Linked DNA regions of Callithrix jacchus. The protein of the gene in region 2 interacts with the protein of the main gene of each other region in a biochemical or structural test. Links are inferred from orthologs where the notes say so. Each region holds a gene or a part of one and is shown on either strand. Other genes may lie near its edges.

Region 1 (7,012 bases), on a different chromosome or scaffold from region 2:
GGCTATCCGGCCCCTCAGCACTCCATCTGACAAGCGATTTATTATTATTATTTATTATCATTATTCTTATTGGTAATTATAAGGACAAACATTTCTATAGTGCTTTACAATACAGAGTATCTTTCATGTGTCTTTTCTCATATTATCCTTATAATAATAGCATACATATTTAGGAAAGGTATTATTGCTGTCCTGATTTTACAGATAAAAGAATTTTCAGTTTAGATGAGCTTACGTGATTTCGGTATGCAGTGGAGCTGTGGCTCAGACCAAGGTTCCTTTACGCTGCAGCCTGTACACAGGTACCAGAAAATGCCAGTAATGGGCAAGCCTACTCACTTTACCAAGTGCCACATTAGACTGAGTCTGTACAGTGAAAGTCCTTCCTTTGCTTTGGGTACAAACCAGCACTGAGTTAGAATTTTCCCAGCTGTGCTAGTACTTTTGTCAAGTGTTTGGCACAAAGGTACTGGTTACAGTAAGTAGGACGGTGTGTTTGGAAAACCAGCTCTAGCAGCATCTACAGATGGGATTTTGTGAGAGCGATAATTTCACAAGTTTTAAGGATGGTATAAGATAGAAAATAATTTGGTCTTCCTGCTCTTGAGAGGGAGGTGGTGTAATGGAGGCATATGTCTGCATAAACAAACCCAGTGGTAGACTTGTAGGTGCTCTGAGCAAGGAGGCAGATGAGAAAAACCATGTTTTATTTTTTATTTTTAATCATATATATATATATATTTTTTTTTTTTTTTTTTTTTTTTTTTTTGGGAGTCTCACTCTGTCGTCCAGGCTGGAATGCAGTGGCATGATCTCGGCTCACTGCAACCTCCACCTCCCGGTTCCAGCGATTCTCCTGCCTCAGCCTCTTGAATAGCTGGGATTACAGGCACACGCCACCATGCCCAGCTAATTTTTATATTCTTAGTAGAGATGGGGTTTCACTACATTGGTCAGGCTGGTCTCAAACTCCTGACCTTGTGACCTGCCCGCCTTGGCCTCCCAAAGTGTTGGAATTACAGGTGTGAGCCACCCCACCTGGGCAAGAAAAGTGATGTTAAAAAGGAGCTGCTGTAACTGAGCCTAAAATTTCAAACAACATGGGTAAGAGAAAGATGGCTTGTCAGATGGAGTGCTGAGGGGCCAGATACCCCAGTGCATTTGGTAAAACTCAGGGCTGGATCAGAGTATATCAGTTCTTCTTGGGCTGCTATAGCAAAATACCTTAGAGTAAGTGGCTTAAACAACAGACGCTTATTTCTCTAAGTTATGGAGACTGTGAAGTCTAAGATCAAGTTGCTGGCTCAGTCAGTTTCTGGTGAGGGCCCCCTTCCTAGCTCATAAATGTCCCTTCTTGCTATGTTCTCACATGACAGAGATTGACCTAGACAGAGTGAGGCCTCTGGTGTCTCTTCTTATAAGGACACCAGTCCTCTTGGATCAGAGCCCTACCCTAGTGACTTCATTGAATCTTAATTACCTCTATAAAGGCCCTGCCTTTAAACAGTCACATTATGGGGTGTGGCCTCAACAAATGAATTTTGGGAAGACAGTTCAGTCCATACCACAGGATGTTGCAGAGCATGGCCAGGGTCAAACCAGGACAGGGAGGCAAGTGGCCCTACTGTGGTGGGCCCTGTGTGCTGTGCCAAGCAGCCTGAACTTTACCCAGATAATGTGGGGAAAGGAAACCATTTTAGGTTAGGGAGTTATAGGATGAGATTTCCCCTTCCAGGGCATCAGGCTCTCCTAGCCCTGCCCCTCAGACAGTTGGGCATTCAGCTTCCTCGTGCCGCTAGATTTCTTCAGCAAGATCCAACTCTACTCCCCTGTATCCCAGCAGCAGGAACACATTTTCCGAGGTTCTCTGCAAATTCTTTCTCTAGTAGGCTTGGATTAGAAAGTAGAACAGACCCTGAAAGGGTGGTGAGGAGTTCCAGAGTTATGGAATAGACCTCTAGTATTTCCTTTGGAAGTCTGCACATCCAGATCTGTCTCACACTGTCTCACACCCATGTATCTGAGGTGTATCAAGTGGGTACCTCCATCAGAACTGACACAGGAAAGGACCCTGGCAACATCCACCAATGCTGGCCCTTAGTGATGTCTGTCGTTGGATTTCCATGCTGAAATACCCAAAGCGCTTTTCAGCATCTTCATGCCAACCCTCTAAATCTCAGATGTTTGCTCTCTGAGCACACTAGCATAATTCTCATTAATGACTTGTGTGCAGAGTAGGGTGAAACTGTTTCTGAAAAGCAGGTGTGAAAGCCCATCCACTCATTCTCATTGGTGAGTGGAGCAGCTGTCAGAATTAGCTGATTTGATTGTCTCCTTTCTTTCCTGTTGAAGGCTATTACTCTTGGAGGAGCCCAGGAAGTGGCTCCTGGTTTGTGCAAGCCCTCTGCTCCATCCTGGAGGAGCATGGGAAAGACCTGGAGATCATGCAGATCCTCACCAGGGTGAATGGCAGAGTGGCCAGGCACTTCGAGTCTCAGTCTGATAACCCACACTTCCATGAGAAGAAGCAGATCCCCTGTGTGGTCTCCATGCTCACCAAAGAACTCTACTTCAGTTAATAACCATACCAGGGGTGCATTCTAGCTGAGAAGCAATGGATCAGGTTCTTTTTTTTTTTTTTTTTGATGCTCTTGAAATATTGAGAAATTCTCCAGGATAATAATTTCAGGAAAATGTATTAATTCAACAGGGAAGAAACTTTCTGGTGCTGTCTTTTGTTCTCTGAATTTTCAAAGACTTTTTTAATAATGTTATTCATTTGGTGACTGTAACTTTCTCTTAAGATTAATTTTCTCTTTGTATGTCTTTTACCTTGTTATTAGACTTAACACATGCAACAAAAGTGACCTCTGGAGAAGGCTCATGCCTGTGTCCACTGTAATTGGTGGTGACATTGGTAGTCGGAGCCATCTTTGCACTTGGTAAAGAGAATCCCAGTGTTTGACAAAACACAGCCAAGGGGATATTTACTGACCTTTTTTCGGAATGTGGATATTGAGTGTGATCTGAATGATTTTTCATTGGCTTAGGGCAGATTTTGATGCAAAAATTCCCAGATAAGTTCAAGGAAAAAAGTTTAATGATTCTGATATGTATCTGTCAGGGTCCAGTCTGGAAAGCAAACTAGAAACAGAAACACCATTCTACGTGTTTCAACAGAGGGAATTTAATACAGGAAACTGACTTACATAGATGATAGAAGAAAAGCTAAACAGCAAGAAGCTGTTTCCACACCCAGGGCTATGAGGATAACGGTTTCCTGAATCCATAGTAGGGTCATTCAGAGGGGCTGGAACCATGGTGGGGGCTCCCTAGGCGGAGCTAGGACCACCAATGGATTGTGAAAAGCCAAGCCATGACAAGGACAAAGCCACTGCCTGAGATGGAGTGAGCTGAGTCAGTTACAGAGAATACTTTGGTCTCACCTCTCCTGCTCTCACATCTTCCACCAGCACCTTATCATTCCAGGACTACCTGGAAGCCACCTTGCCAAGGCCCTTGGAAGAGCAAGGGACAGTGAGGCAGGAGAATGACAAGAAATGAATAAGCCTGGCCCATAATGTGAACATAAGTAATCACTTTCTCTAATGTTCAACAATTCATCCATTCAATCATTCATTGGGGTGTCAGATGGTCTACATATGTGTAAAATAATCTGTTTTGGCTTTATGTGCAAAGTCTGTTATAGCTTTAAAATATATCTGGAACTTTATAGATTATTCCAAGCCTCATTTTGAGTAAATATTTGTTACTTCTAGTTCTATAAGTGAGGAAGAGTTTATGGCAAAGATTTTTGGCACTTTGTTTTCAAGGTGGTGTTATCTTTTGAATTCTTGAAAATTACTGTTTTTTTTTCTCCCTAGTAGTAACTGGTTAACAAACAAATGTTCATATTTACTGATTAAAAATGTGGTTGCTTAATTCCTAACCAGTCTTGTTTACTTTCCTTTTGAAATTATTTATTGTGATGGAAAAATGAGAAAACAGGATAAGAATTGACCCTATTGGCTGGGCACAGTGGCTCACGCCTATAATCCCAGCACTTTGGGAGGCAGAGGTGGGTGGATCATTTGAGGTCAGGAGTTCGAGACCAGTCTAGCCAACATGGTAAAACCCCACCTATACTAAAAATACAAAAAAAAAAAAAAAAAAAATAGCCTGGTGTGGTGGTGGGCCCCTGTAGTCCCAGCTACTCAGGAGGCTGAGGTAGGATAATTGCTTGAAACTGGGAAGTGGAAGTTGCAGTGAGCCAAGATTGTACCACTGCAAAAAAAAAAAGAATTGACCCTTTTGGCTTGACCTCAACACATAATATATAATTTTTTTTGAAGTTAGTACACTAATAAAATAAGTAATCACTTGGGAAAGCCGGGACTCCTCACATAAAAGGTCAATCAACTTAGAAAGAAGTTTGTGATGGGCTGCCATTTATTAATTTTGACAATAAAATTAGACAACATAAAAGTATCTTCTTTCAAATAAGAAAACTAATTTCGGGTGAGTTTATTAGACCTGTCCCTGGTTTCCTGCCATCTAAAATATTCTAAATGTACAAAACCGGAGATCATAACAAGCATCTACCCTACTATTCCCAGAATTCACAGGCCGTTCTTTGGATAATAAGCTATCTATTAAAGGTCTCTATCATATAAATCAAAGGGCCTACGTGTATTGCAGTAAAAACCATAGCAATCTAGTTATTTGCCTTTAACCTTCATTAAAGGGAAGAATGCTCCCAAGTGTCAGGATTAATTTTTCCAGATCTCTCTAGGCAGTTATAGGTTGCAGATAATGAATATTACCGTATATCCCAAAGACTTTTAATAGTTTTAGTCCTTGAATGCTTCCATGGGCAGACCCTTATTTATTGAGATCGGAAACCCTAGTTCAAGTTGGGAATGTCATACCACCTTCATTCTAAACTTTCCAGACTTTCTATATTCCAAAAGTCTGATGACCAGTTACCCTGCAGGAGAACTCAGTCCTGGTGAATATACATTCCAAGTTCTCATGATTCAGAACCCCAATTCCTCCTTGCAGGAGTATCAGACAGGGCACTGCCCTTGTCCCAGACTACAGCTTCCCCACTGGCTTTATGAACCCAAAGCTGGATTTCTGTTTGTATTTTTGTTTTCCTCAAAGTGCCATTAGGTTAAAGTTTTAGCTATTGGGCCACGTTCGGTGGCTCATGCCTGTAATCCCAGCACTTTGGGAGGCCAAGGCAGGCAGATCACCTGAGGTCAGGAGTTTGAGACCAGCCTGACTAACATGGTGAAACCCCATCTCTACTAAAAATACAAAAATTAGCCAGATATGGTGGCAGGCACCTGTAATGCCAGCTACTCTGGAGGCTGAGGCAGGAGAATCACTTGAACTCAGGAGGTGGAAGTTGCAGTGAGCTGAGATCTTGCCACTGCACTCCAGCCTTGGAGACAGAGCAAGACTGTCTCAAAAAAAAAAAAAAAGAAAAAGAAAAACTAACCATATATATATATATATATATATATATATATATATATATATATGAACTATTAATACATTCACAGACAGCTTTCGGCTCTGCCCTAGGCTTTTTCTCTGAGCAAATTTCCAGCAGCCATCATTGGCCCAATACATTTATGAATTGCTACAAATCGGTCTGAAAATAAAGTCCTGGGGTCACTGAATTTACATGATTTAAAACTTCAAGGAAACCAAGGCCTGTCTGTGAAAAAGAAAACAACATCCACTCAAACATCCTAGACATGGACTGACAAATCCTTATTTTGCCCAGTCTTGCAAGTGCATCACCTGAAATTTATTACCAGCTACTCTGGTGACCCACGGATTGATTCCCTTTGACTTCTTGGAAGCACACCTCTTCTGCCAGCTTTTCATCTTTCAGGCCCTTTTCTAGAAACATCTGGCCAGGTAAGAGGCTGTGTTGGTCATCAGTTTACAGCAACAATTCCTCTGTGTTAATTGGCCAGTGGAGAAGTAGCTGCAGCCCAGGTATCCTTAAGAGTCCTTCAAAGACATGCGGATTGGAAAGCGCCTTTACACAGTTTGCCTTGTACATGTTTTAGTGTCTTGCAACACTGAGCGAATGCCTGGCCTGGGTGCATCGGCATCCCCTGGGAACTTGTCAGAAATGCAGACTCTCAGGCCCCGCCCCAGACCAACTCAATGTGAATCTGCATTTTAACCAGACTCCCAAGTGACCCATGTCACATTACAGTTTAGGAAGCTCTGTTTTGTGGGCAAGGCCCACATGTATGTACGTATTTTTGTTCTCCCCCTGCCCTGCACGTGGAGCTGATAGGACATGCCTACAAAGAATCAGAAAAATAATATTTTGGAGCTTTCATGGAAGACAGGTTTTCAAGCTCTTCTAACCTCCCGCAAAACCCTGTTTTAAAACTCCATGATACCCTTAAAGTACATAGTACACCTTTTACATTCTTTGCCCATTTCCTTTTTAAATAAGCCTTTGCTGAGTGGCATACAAGGATTATTTAAAGGTTCTCAATGTGTCCATGAATGTGAATTGCAGCCTTTAATATGTTTTCGTAAACATTATAGGACTAAAGGAGCCATTTCTTGCATGTATTTATTGGTGGCAGGACTGCCGAGCATTGAAGCTTAAGAGCTTGTCATTTCCACCTGTCATATCCCCAGAGCCCAGTGGACACTGGGAAGATTATTATTTCTCTTTGCCAGCGTGCCCTCAGGCCATAGGTCCCTTTTTTGATAGATCTCAGGGCTTTTTTTGGATCAGGTGACAAATAATTCCTTTTGATTCATGAGTCATTAACACAAACACACCAAGGACGTATTTGGAAAGCCCAGCCACCACCACAGTACTGATGTGGACATGGAAACTCCATTAGCTTGTAGGTTCATGCATGAATGGCTCTCTAAAATGATTTGGTTAATCTTGTTTAATCTGGTTAAAATGCAGATTCACAATGAGTAGGTCTGGGGTGGGGCTGAGAACGGTATGCAACAGAAA
Region 2 (7,547 bases):
GTGGTCCCAGCTACTTGGCAGGCTGAAGTGGGAGGTTTGCTTGAGCCCAGGAGATGGAGGTAGAAGTGAGTTGAGATCACATCACTGTGCTCCAGCCTGGGTAACAGAGCAAGACTCTGTCTCAAAATAAATTTTTTTAATTAAAAAAAATCTATACATATATAGTTAATAGCTTTATTGACATAATTCACACACCATAAAAACCACACATTTAGAATGTACAGTTCAGTGGTTTTTAGTGTATTCATGGAATTGTACAAACATCACCACAAACAATTTTAGAATTTGTATCACACCAGAAAGAAACTTCATACTCTTAAGCAGTCACCCCTATTCCCCTATCCACTCAGCCCAAAGTAATACTAACTATTTTCTCTCTACAAACTTGCCTCTTCTAGACATTTCATATACATGGAATTATATAATATGTGATATTTTGTGTATAGCTTCTTTCATTTAGCATAATGTTTTCAAAGTTCATCTGTATTGTAGCTTATATCAGTACTTCATTCCTTTTTATTGCCGGATAATATTCCATTGTATGGATATACCATATTATGCATATCATTCATAAAGTGATGACCATTTGGGTTGTTTCCACTTTTTGGCTATGATGAATAATGTTACTGTGAACATTCATGTACATGTTTTCATTTCTCCTGGTACATACCTAGGGGTAGAATTGGTAGGTCATATGATAGCTCTATGTTAACTTTTTGAGGAATGCCCAGATCATTTTCCAAAGTGGCTATACCATTTTACATCCCTACCAATAATATATAAGGTTCCAATTTCTCTATATCCTCACCAACTTTTTAATCTGTGTTTTTTTTTATCATAGCCATCCTAGTGGATATAAAATGGCATCTCAGTGTGCTTTTGATTTGCATTTCTCTGAAGGCTAATGATAACACCTTTTCATGTGTTTACTGGCTATGTATATATCTTCTTTAGAGAAATGTCTATTCAGATCCTTTGCCTAATTTTTTTTTTTTTTTGAGTTGGGAGTCTTGCTCTGTTACCCTGGCTAGAATGCAGTGGCACAATCTCAGCTCACTGCAACCTCCCTCCAGGGTTCAAGTGATTCTCCTGCCTCAGCCTCCGGAGTAGCTGGGATTATAGGTGCACACCACCACATCTGGCTAATTTTTGTATTTTTAGTAGAAACAGGGTTTCTCCATGTTGGTCAGGCTGGTTTCAACCTTCTGACCTTGTGATCAGCCCACCTTAGCCTCCCAAAGTGCTGGGATTACAGGCGTAAACCACCACCCCCAGCTCAAATCTGAAGTTGTTAAGATTTATTCCTGTTTGTCTCCAAAAGGTTTATAGTTTTAGTTCTTACATTTAGGTTTTGCTCCATTTTGACCTAATTTTTTAATATAGTTGAGGTAGGAGTCCAGCCTCATTCCCTTGTTAGTGAATATCTTGTTGTTCCAGCACCAGTTGTTGAAAAGGTTTTTTTTCTCTTGTCATTGACAGTTGTCAAAAAATCAGTTGACTGTAAATATATAAATATTTATTTCTGGACTCTTAATTCTGTTTCACTGATCTACATAAGCTATTCTTACGCCAGGACTACCCTGTCTACACTTGGCTAGTAGAATGCCAAGCCAAAGATGATTTTTGGCATTCTTGCCAATAGTAGATGAGAGCAAGAATGTTGCAGAAGTAATGAGTACTTAAATTAGGCTATAAAGTTCATACAAATAAAGTCTGACATTTAAAGTCACAGGGAATCATTTTTAAATATCTTCTATTGAAATGTAATACACATATATAAAAACCTGCATCTCAAAAGGATACCTTCTAATGAAAATTCATCAACTAACTTAGTTATATAACCAACATCCAGATCAAGAAACAAAACATTGTCAACAACACATAAGACTCTCTTACATGCCCTTCCAGTCACCTTACCCTCACCACTACCACCAAGTATGTTCAATATTATCTGCTAGTTTGAAACATTTTAACACCTGGCTTTTTTAAGTGCTAGTTATGCAAAATTAACTGATTCTAGTTTCAACTTTTCTGGGAAACATTTAAGGGACAGGAGCCAAAGTTAGGGTAATTTACAAACCAGGTGATCAGTCCTAAATAATTGAGCCTTGGTCATTTGCATTTTGTTCTTTAAATACACTTTGGGTTAAACACTTCATGTAGAGTTTCAAATTGAGCTCAGTATGGAAAGAAATAACTATGTAGGAAATTAAACTTTTCTTTTTTGAGGCTAAAAGGAAGAAAACTATTTTTTTTTAGAGCAAAACCACATAATAAAATTCTGACTAGTTTTACATCATATTTATTTACTAGATTATGATGTGTTCCATGTATGGCATATGCAAAGTGAAGAATATAGACCTTAAATTCAAAATCATTGTAACAGCATACAAAGATCTTCCTCATGCTGTTCAGGAGGTAGGTGATTTTCCATAGTAAGTTTGATAAATCCATATCTGTAATAAAGATAATTTTATTCATTCACAGGCTCATATATTCTGATCTTATGTAAATTTACAAATAAAAATTTTTATATTATTTATTTGTAACTTAAATGCTTAAATGGAATTGGAAAGATAAGATAAATTATGAAATTATCCATATTCGTGGTTTTTTTATAAATTTAACAAGTAATGCTTTATCTGTGTAATAAGCAAGTATTTATAATAAACCTGGCATGAGTCATAGTACATTAGATGATCTTTTATTTTTATTACTTTATAGGAAAAGTCAGCATAAATGCAACCTTGCAAAGAAATAATAAATATGTTCAGTATAAACACATTTTGTATTTCTAAACACATTTACCTTCCCTTTAGAGAAACAGGAGTAGTAAAATATACTTGGTATGACACGTTTCATACGGTTCTGTGGAAAGTGAGTTGTGGGATATCTTTCCCATTTATTATTAGAGTTTTCAAAAGTAATACAAACCAAGTCATTTTTGTTTGTATGTTTGAAGTTATTTTAAATTCAATCATTTAAGTGTATAATGTGTCAGAGGCATTTGATATAACCTCTGTGTTTTTACCTAACTAAAATTTGAGTGAAATCTAACACTAAAATATAGTGCTTTTACTAAGTGTCTACTTCCTGCAATTGAGTAATGCTATTTAAACCCTTATAGAATGGGGCGATACAGGGAGGTACAGGCCAGAGGATATAGTCTAAATATTAATGGATAATGTCATTGGCTTTCACTTAGTTCTGGCCCTTTGATTCCCATAATGCTTTCCATTCTACCAGCCTGTCTACTCTCTCTTCTTGGATGGCCAGCTATTCCATCTGCTGCCTGGCTGTTTTTCTCAATAATCCTATGACATTTCGCTTCTAGTAGAGCATCTATAATTCAAACCTAAGAAGGCATTTTAGATTATTTTTTCCTGTATAATATGTGCTTCTTACCAGTCAAAAAGTTTTACAAACTTTTAGAAAAGAAAATCTAAAGGTAGAAATTTTAAAATTAATTTAACAAGTGAATTTTACTTTTTTTTTTTTACTCTTCTTCCTCAGACTTTCAAACGTGTTTTGATCAAAGAAGAGGAGTATGATTCTATTATAGTATTCTATAACTCAGTCTTCATGCAGAGACTGAAAACAAATATTTTGCAGTATGCTTCCACCAGGGTAAGTCAAAAGTATCCTTTGATTGGAAATATCTAATTATAAAGTAATGGGTCCCATTAAAACATTAAATAAATAATACTACTTTTTTGTTTTTGCTCTAGCCCCCTACCTTGTCACCAATACCTCACATTCCTCGAAGCCCTTATAAGTTTCCTAGTTCACCCTTACGGATTCCTGGAGGGAACATCTATATATCACCCCTGAAGAGTCCATATAAAATTTCAGAAGGTCTGCCAACACCAACAAAAATGACTCCAGGAACAAGGTGTGTGTATTTTCTCGTTAGAGAGGTAGTAAAGAATGAAAGGGGGATAATTTTGATCCAAGAATAAAAATACAACGCTTTCTTCATTTCAAATAAGCTAGACTCTTGAGTCTATTTGTTTATTTAAGTAACATAATGAGAATCTAGGGGGAAAGAAAATCTATTTACTTGGATGGGTTTACAAATTTAGTTATCAGATTTCCTGACTGCTAGGGGTATCTTCTTTTGTAAACAGTTTTTGAACCAGTTTGGTTATATGTTTCAAAACACTTTAATATTTTTGTAAGTAGTCAATCTGCTAAACAATGCAGGTTACTTTAGGTTGAGTACTTTTAGTTTGTAGTTTATTGGATGTCCTATAAATTTTGCTTCCTGTGGATTTTGTTCATTCTGCTGGTTATATTAAATGTAGATTACTGTCAATTAAGTCTTTAGAGGTCCATTCCTAATCCTGTTGGCAACCTCTTTACCACCTTACCTTGGGCAGGTCTCTATCTCTACTACACAAGGGTGCTGTGGATCAGCAAAATGATTAGTATGAAGCTGTTTTAAATTCTAAGATGAAAGGTTGTGTGCAACTATAAATCATTATATTATCTTCCCATCCAACCACAAGTGCTCTCTGGCTTTGAAGTGCTTCAGTTGACTAATTATATATTATCAGGGGCTATTTGAAACTGACTTTATTTGTGTAAAGTAGGAGGCAGATTAGCTAGTATAGTTAATGTAGTCTCATTTCAGAAATTGTCAGCCCATATGGTTGTCCCTCATGGACAAGAAAAGGGAGATATATTAGTCTTTTAGAAAATATTTGCATGGTATATTTAATTATTTAAGTAGTACATACTCATGGTAAAAATTGCAAACTCTACAGAAAAATATGAAGTAATAAATAACTGGCAATATGATACAAATGCTCTCATGTGCCTCTATATCATCCTTTATTTATTTGGTGTTCTTATAGTTGGATATCTGTGTACTGACTCCTTCTACTTGTTCCAAGCTGTTAAAATGCCACGTTATCTCTATATAAGAAAATTTACAGGCCGGGTGTGGTGGCTCACACCTGTAATCCAAGCACTTTGGAGGCCAAGGCGGGCGGATCACCTGAGGTTGTGAGTTCAAGACCAGTCTGACAAACATGGTGAAACCCCGTCTTTAAACAAAACAAAACAAAACAAACAAAACAAAAAAATTTATACAGTCCCATGCCACTGTATGAAAATGTATACTTAGGTAGTTTTTTAATAGTGATTATTAATCCATATTATGGTGATAATGATGGCTACTTCCTGATCCTTAGTGAAATCAATTGTGTTGTATTCTTTAGCAAAAAAGTCACATTCTGAACATTCTAACTAATAAATCATTGATCAGGCATTAGGAGAGCATTATATTTAGAATGATGACCACTTATCAAGGAATTGGAGGACAAAAAAAAACTTTATATGCACTAGTTCCATGTTCATGTTTTCAAATCTTTGTTGAGTCATGTCAAGCTAATGATGTTCTTCAGCTTTATTATCAAGAACATAACTTATATGGTTTAAATAAAGACAGACTAATAAAGATTTCTGACTATATATTTGATATATGATAACTAGCCTTTACTATACCAATATAGATGCTAATTAGAATTCTGATTATTAATATTCTAAGTTTTTGCCAAATATAACTTGAATTTTAAATGAGAAAATATGAAAGAAATTTGATAACTTACTCATTGATTTATGAAGAACTAAGTAGGGGTAAACTTGAAAATTTCCTTTGCTCTCCTTAAATATGGGGAATGGCAAAATATGTTCTTGCAGACCTATGGTTTTTGCTTTAAAACTAAGAGACCAGGTGAGTATATGATTAAATGGGCACTGTTAGAATAATCCCCAAATGAATATAGTTTGTCAGTGGTTCTAGGGTAGAGGTAGCCTTTAACTTGGAATTCCTGATAGTTCAGAATAGTATATCTATGCTCATCTCTGCAAAATTGTACATGATTTTTATTACTAATTGGTATTTCATCTTAACTTGACAGAATCTTAGTATCAATTGGTGAATCATTTGGGGTGAGTATTTTATTTCTATGAAATGTAATAGTACACATTGTAAGTATAAAAGTAATTAGAGTTTTCTATAATTTGAATTTGCAAATACAATTATTCAAACACCTCACTCAGGCATATTGCGTAGAATTTTATGAGATATATATATCTCAGATTTACTTTCAAATCAAGTTTAATCTCCATTTATACTCCTAACTAGTGAACTTCAAAACTTTTCTAAATATTCCTTTGAGATTATATAATACACATATATACATTTGTGTGTATACATGCATATATATGTGAGTTGTTTTTGCTCACACTTCTATCACCCAATATGTGAGATTCTTTTTTTTTTTTTTCTCAAACAAATCTGTTCTTCAACTCTCTTGTGTTCTACAATTCAATTTATTTCTAACACTAATTACCCAGAGTCAGCATCAGACTCCACAGGTTCAAGGGCTCAGTCCCACAAAACTGGTCTCACTGCAGACACCCGTCACAACTGTCAGGCCCCCAGGCTACACCACACTTCCATCTGACTTGGATACAAAGTTAGGGGGTTCCCATGTGCCTCTTCCTTAGGTTTGATCACTTGCCAGAATTAGTCACAAAACTCTGGAAAAAATTTTACTTATTATTATCAGTTCATTATAAAAGATGCAAATGAACAGCCCAATGAAGAGGTATTATACAGGGTGAGGTCCAGAAGAGTCCCTAGCACAGGAGCTTCTGTCCCAGGGAGTTGAGGTACACCACCTTCGCAGCACTTGGACATGTTTACCAACTCGAAAGGTCTCCCAACCTTGTTGTTGACAGGTTTTTATGGGGGTTTCATTATGTAGGCATAACCAATTAACTCAATCTCCAACCCTCTCCGCTCCCCGGATAGAGGGTGGGGCTCAAAGTTCCAAGCTTCTACTCAAGACTTGGTCTTTCTGGCAACCAGCTCTCATTCTGATTAGCCAGGTCCCCACCAAGTGTCACCTCATTAGAACAAAAGATGCAGGCCGGGTGCGGTGGCTCAAGCCTGTAATCCCAGCACTTTGGGAGGCCGAGGCGGGTGGATCACGAGGTCAAGAGATTGAGACCATTCTGGTCAACATGGTGAAACCCCGTCTCTGCTAAAAATACAAAAAATTTGCTGGGCACGGTGGCGCATGCCTGTAATCCCAGCTACTCAGGAGGCTGAGGCAGGAGAATTGCCTGAACCCAGGAGGCGGAGGTTGCAGTGAGCCGAGATTGCGCCATTGCACTCCAGCCTGGGCAACAAGAGCGAAACTCCGTCTCAAAAAAAAAAAAAGAACAAAAGATGGTCCTATCACCCTTATCACTTAGGAAATTTCAAAGGTTCTAGGAGCTCTGTTCCAGGAACCGGGGACAAAGACCAAATATCTTCCTATGATACTATGTATGTATGTACATAACCTCGTATGAATTATGAGAATGATTTGAAATGACATACTCCAAAATGTAAGCCCTACATCCAAATGTCACCAGCCTGTCCCTGCGTCTTCTCTTTCCATACATACACACTTTTTGTTTGTCCTTCCTCTCAGACTTCTCAGACTTCTAGGATATTCTTTTTCTGGTACACTGGTTAGGAATTGGTTACA

The links.
Region 1: of the proteins of RB1 (region 2) and CASP7, one has a biochemical effect on the other in vitro, tested with the Homo sapiens proteins (2 studies listed by BioGRID). The link is inferred for Callithrix jacchus from reciprocal best matches to the Homo sapiens genes RB1 and CASP7.

Annotation. Positions count from the first base shown.
Region 1 is NC_133513.1:106,664,781-106,671,792, forward strand, and holds the end of CASP7 (caspase-7), read left to right. Parts: intron 1-2,352; coding exon 2,353-2,579; 3' UTR 2,580-3,949; downstream 3,950-7,012. UniProt on the Homo sapiens protein: Thiol protease involved in different programmed cell death processes, such as apoptosis, pyroptosis or granzyme-mediated programmed cell death, by proteolytically cleaving target proteins.
Region 2 is NC_133502.1:67,482,569-67,490,115, reverse strand, and holds part of RB1 (retinoblastoma-associated protein), read left to right. Parts: intron 1-2,313; coding exon 2,314-2,418; intron 2,419-3,513; coding exon 3,514-3,627; intron 3,628-3,728; coding exon 3,729-3,892; intron 3,893-5,924; coding exon 5,925-5,955; intron 5,956-7,547. UniProt on the Homo sapiens protein: Tumor suppressor that is a key regulator of the G1/S transition of the cell cycle. The hypophosphorylated form binds transcription regulators of the E2F family, preventing transcription of E2F-responsive genes.